Xenopus tropicalis: one gene and its partner. The protein of the gene in region 1 purifies or fractionates together with the protein of each later gene. This does not show direct contact. Links are inferred from orthologs where the notes say so. Each region holds a gene or a part of one and is shown on either strand. Other genes may lie near its edges. The genes, in order: foxm1 and otub1.

The links.
Region 2: the proteins of foxm1 (region 1) and otub1 purify together in Homo sapiens (affinity purification with western blotting; 4 studies listed by BioGRID, with this or other methods). This does not show direct contact. The link is inferred for Xenopus tropicalis from reciprocal best matches to the Homo sapiens genes FOXM1 and OTUB1.

The regions. Positions count from the first base shown.
Region 1 is NC_030679.2:10,383,257-10,387,655, forward strand, and holds the start of foxm1 (forkhead box protein M1), read right to left. Parts: upstream 2,835-4,399; 5' UTR 2,740-2,834; intron 552-2,739; 5' UTR 493-551; intron 1-492. UniProt on the Homo sapiens protein: Transcription factor regulating the expression of cell cycle genes essential for DNA replication and mitosis. Plays a role in the control of cell proliferation. Also plays a role in DNA break repair, participating in the DNA damage checkpoint response.
Region 2 is NC_030680.2:36,046,097-36,050,445, reverse strand, and holds the start of otub1 (ubiquitin thioesterase OTUB1), read left to right. Parts: upstream 1-1,373; 5' UTR 1,374-1,444; coding exon 1,445-1,490; intron 1,491-4,349. UniProt on the Homo sapiens protein: Hydrolase that can specifically remove 'Lys-48'-linked conjugated ubiquitin from proteins and plays an important regulatory role at the level of protein turnover by preventing degradation.

The DNA of each region.
Region 1 (4,399 bases):
GTCCTTCTGTAAGGTTCTTGCTGTATGTGCGCTACTAGGGGGTCTTAGAGATCTGTTTCCTCCCAGAACAACAGACAGAAGGCAAAGCCATTGTATAACTCAACAACTTCATTATATGGGGGCACTAAGAGCCCCTCTGCACTCCCCCATTATCACACACACATATATATATATATATATATATATATATATATATATATATATATATATATATATATATATATATATAGAACATTAAGACATTCTGTGCATTAAGCTACCAATGCACAGAATATATGGACAGACAATCCCTGTTTTTGGTATGAGATCCCTTATCCGGAAACCCCTTATCCAGAAAGTTCCGAATTACGGAAAGGCCATCTCCCATAGACTCCATTATAAGCAAATAATACTAATTAACTTTTCTCCCTAAAACCAACATCTATTAAAAGAAAGCTGCTATTTCCGGGAGAATAAATGCATTATCATGATTACAGGTATGGGATCCCTTACCTGGAAACCCGTTATCAAGAAAGCTCCAAATAACGGAAAGCCTGTCTCCCATAGACTCTCTGTAAAAGTAAAACAGTACCTTGTAATTAATTCTTACTGGGGGCAGAACAGCCCTATTGGGTTTATTTCATGGTTAAATGATTCCCTTTTCTCTGTAATAATAAAACAGTACCTGTACTTGATCCCAACTAAGATATAATTACCCCTTATTGGGGGCAGAACAGCCCTATTGGGTTTATTTCATGGTTAAATGATTCCCTTTTCTCTGTAATAATAAAACAGTACCTGTACTTGATCCCAACTAAGATATAATTACCCCTTATTGGGGGCAGAACAGCCCTATTGGGTTTATTTCATGGTTAAATGATTCCCTTTTCTCTGTAATAATAAAACAGTACCTGTACTTGATCCCAACTAAGATATAATTACCCCTTATTGGGGGCAGAACAGCCCTATTGGGTTTATTTCATGGTTAAATGATTCCCTTTTCTCTGTAATAATAAAACAGTACCTGTACTTGATCCCAACTAAGATATAATTACCCCTTATTGGGGGCAGAACAGCCCTATTGGGTTTATTTCATGGTTAAATGATTCCCTTTTCTCTGTAATAATAAAACAGTACCTGTACTTGATCCCAACTAAGATATAATTACCCCTTATTGGGGGCAGAACAGCCCTATTGGGTTTATTTAATGGTTAAATGATTCCCTTTTCTCTGTAATAATAAAACAGTATCTGTACTTGATCCCAACTAAGATATAATTACCCCTTATTGGGGCAGAACAGCCCTATTGGGTTTATTTAATGGTTAAATGATTTTAGCAGGCTTAAGTTATGGAGATCCAAATTAAAGAAACATCTGGAAAACCCCAGGTCCCGAGCACTCTGGATAACAGGTCCCATACCTGTATATATTAATAATGGGGGAGTGCAGAGGACCTCTTGTTGTTGTTGTCTATATGAACTTTGCAGTCACAGCTTTATTGCACCTCTGCCTAATGGTTTAATCAGGGGTGCTCAATCTTTTTAAGCAGGGGGCCAGTTCACAGTCCCTCAGACTGTTGGGGGGCCAGACTATAGTTTGTCCCACACCCCTGGCTATAACTGGCCTGCCTCAGCGTGGTCCTTGGCTGCATCACGTTACCCTGTCACACCCGCCGATGCTAATGTGTCCAGCGAGGGCCACGCTGAGGCAGACAGGTAGTAGCCAGGGGTGAGGACACAGCAGGGGTAGGTAAATGCCCGTGGGGGGCCGTAGTTTGAGGACCCCCTGGTTTAAAATGTAATGGTCAGCACAACTTTCCCTTTTTTTGCACTAAAGCCAGAAAACATGTTAAATATCCTCAATTTGTAAATAAAGTTGCCATGGCTGCGTGGTTTCATCACTAGCACAGTGCCAGCGGCAGATAGTGCCCAAATATACAGTAGCTGGGCAAGTGGCCTTACTGACCCATTGCGGGACCCCCCAGCAATACAGCAGCTGATGCATAGAATGATTTGCTTGGGGCTATGGAACAAAGAGGAAGGATTACAGGCATTTATGGTACAGCATCCTTCATAATGAACTCCCTGCTGCTCTGATTGGTTAGTAAGGAGAACTGGACCAGCTAGAACGTTATTCTGTTAGGTTCTTGCTGTATATGTGATACAAGGGGGTTAGAGATCCCTTCTCGTGTGTTTCTAACTTTATTTTCCAACCTATACTAATTCCCTAATAACACCCGCACTGCTACAGAGTGAGCGACAATGGCTCTAGCACCCCCCTTTACTGATTGTTAAAGCCCCTGTCCCCTCCTCATTCACTGAATAGGTCACTCATTACCCATTGAATTGATGGAGGAGGAGGGTGAGGCAGACAGAAGGCAAAGCCATTGTATAACCCAACAACCTCATTATATGGGCGCACTAAAGCCAGAAAACAGGATACATTTTCACAATTGGGAGATAAAGTTGCCATGGGCAGATAGGGCCCATATATATATATATATATATATATATATATAAAATATGTGGCTGAACCATTGCAGGACACCCCCTCCCCCAAAAGACCATTAAGACATTACAGGTGGGTTGTAGTTGAACAACAGCGGCTTCCATAGAGTGGAACATGACAGTTCCATATTGAGAACTGACACCCCCTACACCCACAGGCCTCCATGCTCCTTCTACACAAGCCTTGCACCCACCCTCATACACACACAGCCCCAACTTCACGTCCGATGACGATCTAACCCGATCTAAATACCTGTTTATAAGACGGTGTCAATATCGGGCCTTTCCGTGGTTTTTGAATTTTCGCGCTTTCGGGCCCGCTTAAACCCACGTGACCACATCGACCAATCCACAGCGCGTCCCTAGCGCGTCACGCATCTCTCGACCAATCGCGCAATCAATCAACGAGTTCCTTTGGCAAAGAGCCAATCATAATGAGCGAGTTATAGAACGCTCGCCGTAGCCAATCGGTGTCGGGGAAAGAGAGAAGCCCTAACGTATCCCGGAAAGAAGGGGATATTACAGCGCTGGGCCGGAATGTTCGGGGGCTACCTGTCCGCTTATTAAGGGTTTGTAGCTGTCGGTGGGTTGTGGGTGCAGTTGTGGATAACAAATTGATTGGTGGGGAACATGCTGATTGGACCTGTTTGTTTTAAACGGAATCGGAGCCGTCATGTTGGGAGCGCCATCTGTGGGTAACTCATGGTATGACAGGAGGCAGAGACTAATGACTGTAGCACTCAGAGCTTGGCTAACGTACAGGTATGGGACCCCTTATCCGGAAACCCGGTATCTAGAAAGCTCCGAATAGACTCCATTTTAATCAAATAATTCAGAATTTTTAAACCTGATTTGTTTTTTCTCTGTTATAATAAAACAGTACCTGTACTTGATCCCTTGATCCCTGGCAGAACAGCCCTATTAGGTTTATTTAATGGTTAAACGATTCCCTTTTCTCTGTAATAATAAAACAGTACCTGTACTTGATCCCAACTAAGATATAATTACCCCTTATTGGGGGCAGAACAGCCCTATTGGGTTTATTTAATGGTTAAATGATTCCCTTTTCTCTGTAATAATAAAACAGTACCTGTACTTGATCCCAACTAAGATATAATTACCCCTTATTGGGGCAGAACAGCCCTATTGGGTTTATTTAATGGTTAAATGATTCCCTTTTCTCTGTAATAATAAAACCGTACCTGTACTTGATCCCATCTAAGATATAATTACCCCTTATTGGGGGCAGAACAGCCCTATTGGGTTTATTTAATGGTTAAATGATTCCCTTTTCTCTGTAATAATAAAACAGTACCTGTACTTGATCCCAACTAAGATATAATTACCCCTTATTGGGGGCAGAACAGCCCTATTGGGTTTATTTAATGGTTAAATGATTCCCTTTTCTCTGTAATAATAAAACAGTACCTGTACTTGATCCCAACTAAGATATAATTACCCCTTATTGGGGGCAGAACAGCCCTATTGGGTTTATTTCATGGTTAAATGATTCCCTTTTCTCTGTAATAATAAAACAGTACCTGTACTTGATCCCAACTAAGATATAATTACCCCTTATTGGGGGCAGAACAGCCCTATTGGGTTTATTTAATGGTTAAATGATTCCCTTTTCTCTGTAATAATAAAACAGTACCTGTACTTGATCCCAACTAAGATCCCTTATCCGGAATACCCTTGGTCCCGAGCATTCTGGATAATGGGTCCTATACCTGTACCAGCAGCAAGTATAAGGATTTAGAATCTAAAAATAAGGCAGTGGGATTTTACAGGCAAAGCCAAAAAGGTTTGATCTATTTTAGATCAAACCTTTTTGGCTTTGCCTGTAAAATCCCATTGGCTTATTTAATGGGAGGCTTATTTGCCCACTGCCTGTCAGTGTTCTGCACCTCATA
Region 2 (4,349 bases), on another chromosome or scaffold:
TCTTAAAGGGGTGGTTCACTTTTAGTATGTTATTGAACACACCAATAGGCCAGTTCTTAGCAACTTTTCAATTAGTCTTCATTATTTGTGGTTTTTTTTATAGTTCTTTTATTATTTGCCTTCTTCTTCTAACTCTTTGCAGCTTTTAAATGGGGGTCACTGATTCCCTTAGCAAATTATAAGCATCATTCTTAATGACTAGGCTATTAAAACGCCAGCCGGGTAGCAACCCTTCTTTGCTCCACAAGTTCATTGACTAATTCTGTGTAGTTTTCACCAGTTAAATAGTCCACTGACAGTGGAAAAACCTGACTGTGCTTTAAAGGGGAAAACCACCCAAACACAACTTAAGCTTTTTGAAAAGTAAAGATAATTTCAAGGAACTTTGCAATATACACCAATTAAAACGTGCACCAGTTACAGGATTTTTTTTTTATATATTCTTTATTTTTGATTTTTCAGAGAAAATGGGGTACAGAAAAAAAGAAGGGAATAGGGTAAGGACATTTGAAATGATCTGCATTTACAAACAGGTTGTGAGGTCAGGAGTAACAAAAGTTATTACTTTTAATTTTAAATACATTTGAGAAAGAATAGAAGCAAATAAAAGATAAAACATGTCATCAGGGACTTGTTAGTTTTTTAGAGTAGTGGTTCTATAGGGTCTTATGTCAACGGGTTTGTGTATGAAAGTTGTTGATAAATGTTAGCCAGGGTTCCCACCAGTTACAGGATTTTAATGTAATATTGTGGTTTATAACAAAGCCTGGCCCCTGTTGACTTGCTGATCTGACTACTCAAACCAATATAACAGTAACTGACTGTCCTCCTCCTTCAGCCTGCATGCTCCAAATCCCACAATCCCCTGCACACATCAATAAGTGCAATGCATTGTGGGTTATGTATTTCCTGCATGCTATGTGTAAGCTGTGGTGATGTTACAATTTGTAACATCAGTGTTTTAGTCCCTCTTCCCCTGGCAGGATTTTCAAATGATACAGAAAGGGAAGATTGTTTTGCAGCTGGATTTCATTATATAAAAATGGCATTTAGTCATACTTTTTTGAAGAAACAGATTACAGTAATAGGTATATTATATTTTGTGTGTTGTGTGGGGCTCTCTAACAAATCTTAGTTCGGAAGCTGACGTTCCCCTTTAAAGTAAGGAACACTTGGTGACATAGAAAGCTCAGTGAGTATTACAGGAGACTAGTCTAGCACCACATATAACCAATGAAGTATACATAGCACTAAAGGTATTCAACTATCTCGTGCTTAATACAGCCTGCTTAGTATCGCCTGGCTGAGCGCTTTATTCTACTATAAACTAGCGAACAGTTACTATAGGAACCGTCTCATCCGGCGCTGTGCTATGAAATTAGGGAGGGACTTCCGGTTTGTAGTCTCCCGGAAGTGATTGGAGTGGCGGCGGTCGGTTGGAAATATGGCGGCGGAAGAATCTGAGCGGCAGCAGCAAAGTGATTGTGACGGTGAGAGAGTTAGTGGCTGCGGGGTGTACCTGCGTGTTCCTATCGGCTTCTCACAGTATAACGGGGAGTGGGAGGGAGGAGAGAGGTGCGGGTACAGGCTGCAGGGGCACACACAGGGGCACATACAGGGGCACATACAGGGGCCATACACAGGGACACACACAGGGGCCATATACAGGGACACATACAGGGACCATACACAGGGGCCATATACAGGGACCATACACAGGGGCCATATACAGGGACCATACACAGGGGCACATACAGGGGCACACACACAGGGGCCATATACAGGGGCCATATACAGGGACACACACAGGGGCCATACACAGGGGCACACACAGGGACCATATACAGGGACCATATACAGGGACACACATACAGGGACACACACAGGGGCCATACACAGGGGCACACACAGGGGCCATATACAGGGACACACATACAGGGACACACACAGGGGCCATACACAGGGACATATGGACATACACAGGGGCACACACACAGGGGCCATATACAGGGGCCATATACAGGGGCACACACAGGGGCCATATACAGGGGCACACACAGGGGCCATATACAGGGGCACACACAGGGGCCATGGGATTCATATGGAAATGCACAGCCCGCTTGCATTAAAGCTATCTGCTCTGTACGTCTTTACAGGGCTTTGTTTATTTAAGGAAGGAGATATCAGATCTGATATCATGCATTCTCTCCCTGGAGCTGATTAAGTTAATTGTCATCTCAATCTATATATATTTTTTATTAAATGCACCAAGAATGGAGGTACCACTGTGACAGACACATCTGCTGCTATCACCAGAGCTGTCAAGCCCCCCCCTCCACCACTTCTTTGGGAGTCAGACGATTTCTCCAGTCCCCCAGCAGTGTTTTTCCATTTTTGCCGAAGTCCTGAAGTGAATTTGATGCATGCATGTATAGTAAGCGTTCAGTGACGTAAGTTGATGCATTTGTGCGTCTGTGGGGGAATTTTTCAGCTTCAGCAGCGATTTTGCGCATGCCGTCGCTTCGAGAGGCCTGCGTGACGTCCATTATGTCACTTCCAGGTATGGGGGAACATTTTCTGTTCCCCTGGAAAGCCTAGATGTCAGGTTGACAACTCTCTATCCCCCATGTCCAATACAATAATCATAAAGGTGGGCGAGGCAAAAGAATTCCTAGGGATGCTGATTTGTTAGGCGCCTCTCGGTAAGTATAATCGTGCAGCGTGTTCGACCATATTTTGTGCAGAAGCACAAGGGTACCCTAGATGGTAATATTTTTTTTTCAAAGAATATCACTGGGTTGGGGAATTCAGTTACAACAAACCAGCATTCCCTGCTTATTTTTGGTTGGTTCTCCTTAAGGGCAGTGACACATGGAGAGATTAGTTGCCATGATTTTTACCACACTTCCCGTTACACGCACATATATACAAGTTGCCATGTATAGTGGCTACTCGCTCAAAAAGAGTCCAGTGGCTACTTGGACCTTGTGGAAAGGGAACTTTGGCGATTTGTCACCATGATCAGGCTTTTTTCAAAATCTCCCCATGTATCGTTGCCCTTAGGGCAGGGGTGGGCAAACTTCTCGGCTCAGGGGCCACATTGACTTACAGACAGGCCGAGCCAGCGTTACGCCATTTCCGCTCGTCAGTCCTTTGACACCAAGTCTCTCATGACAAGACTTGTGGAGTCAGCGGGCCGGATTAAAAAGACCAATGGGCCGAATGTGGCCCGCGGGCGTAGTTTGCTCCCCCCTGCCTTAGGGTAATGGCACACTGTATACTTTATAGTCCATGTGAAATCGCCTCTCTCACAGACAACAAAGCACCTAAAATAAATTGCATTTGGTAACAGCAAGAATCACTGTCAGGGGCAAATTTGGGACCAATGTCACTCTGAGGCTGCCTTCCCAATGTAGCCTCCCTCACCTCCTCCCCACACACCCTTTTAGCATCAGAGAAACTTAATAAGCCCCTGGTAACCTACTGGGCGCAGCCTCCTGAGGCAAGGAGCACCCTTCATCACCATGGGTGATATGAAATGCGTAACCACATGAAATTGCCCCCTTATGCACTTTGGCTGATTACACAATATATATGTTTTACCTGCGCTAATTCTTGTTTGTGGAAATGGTATTTTTTAAGGACACTTTGTTACCTAACGATGAATGCAATTTACCACAATTTGCCCAGTGTTATATCACCCTTCATTGGGTAGTTCACCATCAGATTAACTTTTTGTTTACAGTGGTATTCTGACACAATTTACATTTTGTCTTCATCTTTTCATTCTTTGTGGATTTGTTTTTTTTTTTTTTTACCCTGGAATTTATTTCTGCCCACCATGCCTGGGCTTAGGCCCTACAGTTCCAGGGCACAAAGAGCCCCTCACAGGGCCCAATATAAAGCACCAGTCTGTTCTCAGACATCTTGCAACTGAAGCTTTAATTCTTTCTGGTTTGCAAACTATTTAACATTTTGTTCCATACCTCTACAGTTTGGGATTTAAATGATCTGGTTGCTAGGGTCATGCTTATACTAGCAGCGAGCAGTGATTTGCAGACTGCAAGATGAAAAGGAGAGTGCCTGAAGAGGAAGTTACAAATATTAATAAAACTCTTGCCTCAAGATTTTTTTTTATAAATTAAAGTTTTTATAAAGTTTTTATTTAGGATTTTAACAACAAAAAAATAACAGTTTAGAGAAAGAAAGCAGGAAGAAGAAAGAGTATAGAGAGTCTTGCCTCAAGATTAATTTGTATTTTTGCCAGGGTGATAGTATTATACATTTCAGACTAGCGAAAAGTATCACTGCCAGTATAACTTTGCTAAACCTTCTTCTTTGTTTCTTTT